Daphnia pulex: one gene and its partner. The protein of the gene in region 1 interacts with the protein of each later gene in a pairwise test. Links are inferred from orthologs where the notes say so. Each region holds a gene or a part of one and is shown on either strand. Other genes may lie near its edges.

Region 1 (3,974 bases):
GGAACGCTTAGTTCCATTTGTTGGTGCAACTTTTTGAACTCTTCGTAAGGCAGGATTTCTTCGGGAATGTCATACGTCAACTTTTGTGAAGGGGCTGATTGTTCGTCGGCTATTTCGACCACCGTGACCGGTTCCGGCGAAGGCTGATCCAGCAATTCCAAGTTGACAAGACTCAAATATTGAAGTTGAATCAAAGATTTGAGGCTATCCGAATGTAAAATGATTGATGGCGCACTACTAGACTCCTGTTGTTCAGATCCTTCGAGACCCAGCGCTCTCAAGTTGATAAATTTCGACAAATGAGTGGCCGTCAAGCGGATTTCCGGTGCGTCAGATGCTTGGATGATCTTCATGGCCTATTAAGAATTCATTTCAAATTCATTAGACACGGTTATTGAAGGATATTTAGGTATTCCAACGAACCTCGGTTTGAAACGGCAAGCGGGCCAATAGGGTTTCAATTTCCGTGTCATGTTGTTGGACACAAATTACGGCACGGAATAATAGGTCATTAGGGGCGCTACTATTGGGGCTGGCGGATGAATCCGGCTGCATTTTATTGAGTGGATGCCATTCGTCGACTATGCTGGCCAAGTAGGATTCGTGACACCAGCATTCGTGAGGACAAGACGGAGACCACGGCGCTGATTGGATACCCTTGTTTGATTTCAATTCACATTTTTGACGACAGACAAAATATAATAATAATCAATCGATTTTTACCTGAAGGAAGAGAAGAAGACTAACGACTAGGATTTTCATGATTTGGGAAATTTTACATTCACCCACGGTGGAATGCATCCGTAAAACTACTAACGAATTTTTCCAAAGGGTTCGCTAGACCGGAGAAGCATCATTATCTCTTGGAAGAGGAAGCAGATTCAACATTAAAACAAAAAAGACAAGGGATATCCTCTGGCGATATTGTCTTGTAAAATGTTCTTTTATAACGATACACGAGTAACATTGTTTTGACTAACAATGTTACTTACAGCGCCTGCATCAAATGATAAGGATTATTTATAAAATATAGTTATTTTTAAACATTGTAGGCGTCTAGGCGATTTAAATTAGTTTCATTATTTATCTTTTATTTCAATTTTTTATTATTTGATTTTTCCGTCTATTCGACTTGACTGTTGTAGATGTCTACATTTTTCACGCTAGATGTCACTATTTTCCGTTTGTTTTCTTTTGTCAATCAGTCCATCAGTCATTCGTCATCTCCTAGAAACTGTGTCGATTTTTCCTGGTCCTCTACAAGAATTTGATTCATAGTTACAAAGCAATTAATTGTAATTTTATGCATATCTAAATATCATGTTAATGATATGTCCGTTTCTCTGTGCGCTTTCCGTCTCGAACTAGGAGGTGATTCCATTGTCCCCAAGGAGCTCACCTATTTAGGTACGTGGGTCTGTCTTGCCATCTCGATTGTATTTTGTTATTATTATATTTTTAATCATCAGCCCCTCAGTTTTTGGCAATGGAAGGTAGTTCAAAAGAAAAGCCAGAAGAGAGGCTGCCCGAAGCAGAAACCTGGGAAAGAGAAAGAGCTGGTAAGGGCAGAGGTAAAAGAGAACTGCAAACAATTGAAATGGAAACTTATGAGAATGACAACACAGAGATCGGACCCTGGGTAATCATTTATCAACATGTTCATATATTTGTTGATTTTACCACAATTTGTCCATTTAGGAAATGACAAAAGGGAAAAATAGGAAATCTTCAGAGGCCAGTAAAGTAAGAACCTTGTCCAACAACAGTTCGTTTGACCAAGAATTGCCGAGTACAAGCAAAGAACCTTCTCCTGCACTGTCGACAGCCACTGGTGATGGTGAGACCGGATCTGCCTCTGGAAGTTCTCATTCAGAATTATCAGATCGTAAAAAGGCCATCACTGCCAAGGATCAATTAAGTTTCTTCTCTGGCAATCCATTTGTGGAGAAAGTTCAGGGTATTCTGCATTTCTACAAAGAAAAGTAAGTTTTCCAAATGTGTGATGGAATCAACTGAACTCATTTGTCTTCATTTTCTTAGTCACATGACTTCATTGGAAATGGATGTGCCTCGTAGCCAAATGATATGCATGCTGGCCATCCCTGCTTGGCTGAGCTGCCACGACTTACTCAATTTCCTTGCACCCTGTTGCCCTGGCATCAGAAGAGTGCGAATCATTCGAGATAAAACCCCCAACCAGTACATGGCCTTGGTACTTTTCCGTAGTCAGGTAAAAAATGAGATATTGATCGAATTGCAAATGAATTCTCTTCATCGTCGATTTCTTGAATTCAGGAAGAGGCTGACGAGTGTTACAAGACATTCAATGGTACGCCTTACAATTCGATTGAATCGGAACATTGCCACATTGTCTATGTTGCAAAAGTTGATATTTGCGGAGACACTACTGTGGGTGGAGGTGGTTTCGGTCCGCCAATGACCGGAATGACTGAGCTACCCATTTGCACGGTTTGTTTGGAACGGATGGACGAATCAGTAGATGGCATTCTGACCATTTTATGTAACCATAGCTTTCACGGAGCATGCCTTGCCAAATGGGGAGACACGACGTAAAAAAAAACGCTTATTGGCTTATGTTTCCGAAATATTGATCATAATCTCTGGCGGTATTGATTTCTTTTTAGATGTCCTGTGTGCCGATACCTGCAATCTCCTGAAATGGCTGCCGAAAGTTGCTGTTCTGAGTGCAAATCCAACGAGTCACTCTGGATTTGTTTGATTTGCGGTCATGTGGGCTGCGGGAGATACGTGGAAGGCCACGCATATCAGTAAGATTATCATAATTTGTAGCTTAAGTGGCATAATTAATGAATGATAATTGATCCCCTCTTATTATGTTAGCCATTTCTTGGAAACGCAGCATTGCTACGCGATGCAGTTGGGTAATACTCGTGTTTGGGACTATGTTGGCGATAACTTTGTCCATCGTTTGCTCCAGAACAACGAAGATGGAAAATTAGTTGAAGTCGAAGGCAACAGCAGTGGTCGGAGGCAGCAGTCTGGTAAACAACACATGCAAATCGTGTTTACTGTTTTATCGATTCAACTCTTTTGGTCGCTATTCAGGCAAAGGGAACAACATGGAACATGAAGAAAAGTTGGACTCTGTCCAATTAGAGTACTTGTATCTTCTTCAGAGTCAACTTGCTTCACAGAAAATTCACTTTGAAGGAATAATTGATCGTCTCGAACAGCAACATCGACAAGAGGTACAATTATCAATTTGTTATTATTATGTTTTCTACTTAGTCAAATACTTCCTATCACTTCCTAGCGGGAGGAAATTAAGGAAAAGGTGAAATCGACAGTCAAGGAAAATGAACGACTCAAAGTGAAAGAGAAAAAGGTAACCCAAATTTCCTTCCAATCATGGCATCCCAGTTTAAATCAATATTTTGTAGATGGCAGCCAAATTAACCAAGGCGATCGCTGATTTGCAAGAAGAAAAAGAGTTGAATCGGTCGCTCACTCATAATCAATCATCATGGCATCAGCGAGTCGCCCAATTGGAGACTCAAGTACAGAAAATTCGCGATGAAAAGGAGACTAGTGTCCGCGAGTTGCAGGAACAGCTCCAAGACGTGATGCTCTATTTCGAAGCGCAAGAGAAATTTAAAAATACTGAACTGGAGGGCGGACAAGTCGTCCTGGGTATGCCCCAATCACCATCGCGCTCCTCGCTGGATGGTAGCAAAGGTGCCAGGAATAAGAAACGTGGCAAGTGAACCACCAAGTCACCCCCACAATCATCCTTTCGTTCAACAAATGACAATGTCTTTTAAAATACGTATTCGCTTATGTTTAATAACACGGTAATACAACATACAAAAAAGTATAGATTTAATCCGCCGGAACCATATTGAAACATTTCATTTTTCCAACAATTTCTAACTTTTGATAGTAAATCCTTCTCCCCATCCTTTATCAACAGGTTCTAAAGTAGGTGTTTTCCC
Region 2 (4,227 bases), on another chromosome or scaffold:
TACAGTCCTTTATAAGTTAAAACTAAACTAAAACTAATGAAAATGTAAACGTATTATTCTTCTAGGTTATAGGCAAAATGCGGCCCGTATGGGATAGTGCTGAAAATAAAACTGGCTCCATCAGTGCGTTGTTTTGTTTATTTTCATTTTTTTTTTCAAACAAACAAATTCAAAGATTTTGAGTAGAACACCCATGGGTTTCCGCTAGAATTGTTTTTCCTTTATGGCCTTTAAATTCCTTCGAAATTAAAATTAAAATGAAACCCTCCATTGAATCAAGATGTTTTCTGCAAATAGTACATGAGGCTTAAACTAGTGTTACGAACTGTTATATGTATTATTCCCTTCAAAATATGTCATAATTTATTCCAACAACTCGAGTATGAAGACATCTTCGTCCAACGCCCATTGTAAAGTTTTTTTTTTTTTTCTTAGCTTGGAGAAAGAACGTGATTGGAAATTTCAAGCAGCGGTCAGTCTACCTAAAATGCATTGAACGGCTGGTGTCTTTTGTTTAGTGAAGGAGAACAAAGGCCCAAAGGGTCTTGAAACAAATTTGACCTGGGGGAAAGATACCTGGTTGGGGGAAGATCAGGACTAGCTACAATTTATTTCTATTTTTAAAAATAAAGCCGGATCCTCTGAAGTCTAAGCTCTAAGGTTTGCCGTTCGCCTGTAGTCTATGAATTCCGGCAAACTTGACGATTGTATTCTAATATCTATATTAGACGGTTCCGCTCGTGAGAATCGCAAGGTAATAAGGTATTGCACCATGAGTATAATAACCAGCGTTATTGCTGTGTCTACATGCTATTTGCTTAGCTTACGAAATAAAATGATGACACAGGTCGTGTTTCAAAATGTATTTCTTCATTGGGTAATCTTCGCTTTCTTTTTACTCGTAGTTCTGAATAGCAATGGTATAAAAGACAATATTTACGTTGGTTATGTAACCAAATCTGTAAATGAATACAAACGAAAATTACGAAAATGCTGCTTATTTAAAATTGCCAGCAAAATGTGCGTGGACTATCTGTTAATTAAATAAATTAGGGAGCAGATTGATTTCAATTACATTTGTAGAATATGATTACTGTTCCTAGCTGCAATTTTATCTGCACATTTCTAATTCGATGATATTCCGTTTTAAAAAAAAATTCACGATTAGCAAATGTAATTTCGAGTTTTCGACATCGAAAACACTCCATCTAGGTACATGTGATTTTTGACGCGGAGAAAATCAAATTTAAGCTTCTTCTGGTTATACTTTTTACTTAACAATATAATTCGAACACATATTTCATTGAAAACTTGTAATTAAAAAGAAATCGCAGATTTCAACGAATGACAATTTTGTTTAATAAAGAATGTTCAGAAATGGCGGGAAAGTGAAGCCTAGCTAGAAGGCATGTATGTATCAACGTTTCATTTGGCGCATCCCGGTAAGAAGAGGGTTCTGAAGTCCAGGCATACGCTGTGATACGCTGCTTGCTTGCTTGGCTTTTTCTTGTTCGACCTCGCCTCGTGTTGCCTTTCGTGGTCGGAATTTTTACCCTCCGAATTTAGACAATTTATCTGAAATCTCGGCCTTTTTCTGATCTACATGCATTACTCTTCGAGGTAACAGGTTTTATACGTTATATTAAGTCTTAAATATCTTGGTTTGGAGGTGCAACTGACCAGTAAATAGGACCACCAACAACATCGGTTTAATGGCGTTCAAAAGTGACGCATATCGATTAGGTTGAATTTATTAAGTCTTTTACCTCCCCCTGATAGCTTGCTAATTTGCGTTTTGTCTTGTTGTATATTTAAGTTTCAAAATTTAATGGTCTAAACTTATGATTTGTAAACATTTCCAGGTATAAGTAATGGAAGGTCATCACCAGCAGTCTAATGCAACCAATATGCACCAGCAGCACACAAATCCAGAACCAACCACTAAAAATCGTAGTGCAGGAGGAGGAGGTGCAGGCAAAACAAGTAAAAAGAGGAAAAGGAATCAAGATCTTGGTCCAGGAGCCCCTCGTCAACCTGTTAATGGTATAGATATTCTTGTCCTTGTTCACTCTAAATTTAACTATTAGACATATTTGCTTCTGAGCATCTTTGATTTTACTTCAACTTTATTCAGTTACTTATAGGGCATTCCATTGATTTTAAACATTTTTAATTTTGCAGGTTATGTACGGTTCCTAAACGAAAGAAGAGAACAAGTACGAGCTGCCAATCCAAGTGCAGGTTTTGCTGATATTATGAAAATAATGGCCCAAGAATGGACTCAACTACCTGCTGAGGAAAAGCAAAAATATATGCAAGCTGCTGAACAGGACCGTCAACGCTATCAAAAAGAATTGCAAGAATATCAACAGACAGAAGCTTACAAAAGCTATGTTCAACAGCAACAACAGCAACATGTTCAACAACAATTACATTTGCAACAACAACAAAGACAAGCTATGCAAGCTACTCATCAATCTCAGTCACAGGTAACATTGGTTTTTCCTTCTATCTGTGTACATTAATTTTTATCAAAAACACACGTCATGTACAGCAACAACCGGCGGCACATTCATCTCACAGCCAAGTCCAGGCTCAGCCATACATTCAACAAATCCAGAGTTACAACCCCCAGTTGCATATTGTCCAACATATGCAGCCAGGGCAACATCAACAGCATGGCGATAGAAGTAACAATGCCGCTGGTCACCGTCCTGATGGGTCAGGAAATCAAGTCGGTGTGTTCGACATTCCCATCTTCACGGAAGAATTTCTCGATCACAACAAAGGTACGATTATTTTAATAAAATTTCTATGTGTAGTTTGAAATGGAAATGCATTATTTTTATGTTGTTCATTTAGTTAGAATTTGATTTGTTAAGGACCTTTTGTTTCAAAAACAAATAGATTAAAAAAAACTGGTTTTCTTAAAAAACAAAAGAAGGATCTCAATTAAGATGTATTGTGTAGGACAAGTTTTTGGCTCTTATAGTTAAGAAGACTCCACCACACTGCCTTCTAGCCGTACACTACGCTCAAGGCGTGTAAAAAAGAAAAGTTACAGTTGTAGGCAGTGTGATGGATCTTGGCCTATTTTTAATCTAGTGAGCATTGCACCAATGCATGGGTCTGGCTATTCCTTCTTACCCATCACCTTGAAACCGTTTCCTTCTAACCCTGTTATGTTTGATGTGGCTTTTCAAAATGATTCAATAGTAGATGCTAAACGAGCTAAGCTGCCGATGTGTCATTTTCTCGTGTAGCGACTGGGGTGCAGGCCTTCTTCAATGCAAGAAATTTAATTGTTTTGTGAAAAGGATTTGATCCATAACTTTTTAACCACCAATGTATACTTTGAAGGATTTGAGTATATCTCATGGGGAAATGTTTTAAGATTGCGTGTATTCAGTGATAAAAATAAGTGTGGGATTTTATGCTTATTCCAAAGTTTTTACGGAATGAATAAAAGAAATTGCTGGGTTTACAATGCCATTGTGATGGTAGTGATTTCTTAGGGTAATGAAAAAGTACAAAATTGCATGCTCAAGTAAGATTTTTAGCTGTTTAAGTTGCCGAAGATTATGACACATTGGTTATTTTAAAACTATTGAGCCAAAGCCAAGTAGAATCGGAATTTTTTCCGTTGACACCAAAAATTTGTCTGGACTACCATTCCATTCAAATCATAAAGAAATTCCTTTGAACCCTTGACAACCCTGTAATGGTCCTGCCCCGTCTTAGTCCGAGAAACAGAGCTGCGGCAGCTGCGGAAAGCTTCAGCCGAGTACGAGGAGCAGAATAGCGCCCTGCGGAAGCACGTCGAGACTCTTCAAGCGGCCGTCAGTCGACTGGAAGCGGAAACAGAGCAGCAGCGACGACACAGCGCCGCGCTACAGCATCACCTCGACAGCCTGCGCGATGTGCTGGCCAACAGTTTTGCCCATTTGCCCCTTCCAGGTGAACCAACTTTCAGAATCTATTCAGATTTAAGAATGGACCAAATCTGGAAATACTAGCCTGTTTCTATATCTGATTCCAATCGAGTAGCCGCTAAGGTACGAATTTCGACAACTTTCGCTGAACTTTTTTTATCTGTCCTTTTCTTGGCACACCATTCTTGCTTTTCTTGAGAAAAAAAAGGGGGTTTGCAGTAGCCTTCGTTCATTCAATCAAGATTCAGAGTTGGTTTTGACAATTTGGTTTCCTTAAAAGTAAATCCGATCGAAA

What was found.
Region 2: the proteins of BRCA1-associated protein-like (region 1) and high mobility group protein 20A-like interact in a two-hybrid assay, tested with the Homo sapiens proteins (2 studies listed by BioGRID and IntAct). The link is inferred for Daphnia pulex from reciprocal best matches to the Homo sapiens genes BRAP and HMG20A.

The regions. Positions count from the first base shown.
Region 1 is NC_060025.1:1,544,495-1,548,468, reverse strand, and holds BRCA1-associated protein-like, read left to right. Parts: upstream 1-1,174; 5' UTR 1,175-1,331; coding exon 1,332-1,407; intron 1,408-1,469; coding exon 1,470-1,639; intron 1,640-1,698; coding exon 1,699-1,982; intron 1,983-2,040; coding exon 2,041-2,230; intron 2,231-2,295; coding exon 2,296-2,570; intron 2,571-2,645; coding exon 2,646-2,789; intron 2,790-2,862; coding exon 2,863-3,023; intron 3,024-3,087; coding exon 3,088-3,230; intron 3,231-3,295; coding exon 3,296-3,367; intron 3,368-3,422; coding exon 3,423-3,746; 3' UTR 3,747-3,865; downstream 3,866-3,974. Other genes in the region: carboxypeptidase N subunit 2-like, read right to left, coding at 1-356, 424-657, 724-801; 2-oxoglutarate and iron-dependent oxygenase domain-containing protein 2-like, read right to left, coding at 3,909-3,974. UniProt on the Homo sapiens protein: Negatively regulates MAP kinase activation by limiting the formation of Raf/MEK complexes probably by inactivation of the KSR1 scaffold protein.
Region 2 is NC_060024.1:7,607,503-7,611,729, reverse strand, and holds the start of high mobility group protein 20A-like, read left to right. Parts: upstream 1-1,427; 5' UTR 1,428-1,620; intron 1,621-1,862; 5' UTR 1,863-1,871; coding exon 1,872-2,043; intron 2,044-2,181; coding exon 2,182-2,489; intron 2,490-2,554; coding exon 2,555-2,789; intron 2,790-3,105; coding exon of another isoform or gene 3,106-3,263; exon of another isoform or gene 3,264-3,484; intron 3,485-3,741; coding exon 3,742-3,957; coding exon of another isoform or gene 3,958-4,016; exon of another isoform or gene 4,017-4,055; intron 4,056-4,227. UniProt on the Homo sapiens protein: Plays a role in neuronal differentiation as chromatin-associated protein. Acts as inhibitor of HMG20B. Overcomes the repressive effects of the neuronal silencer REST and induces the activation of neuronal-specific genes.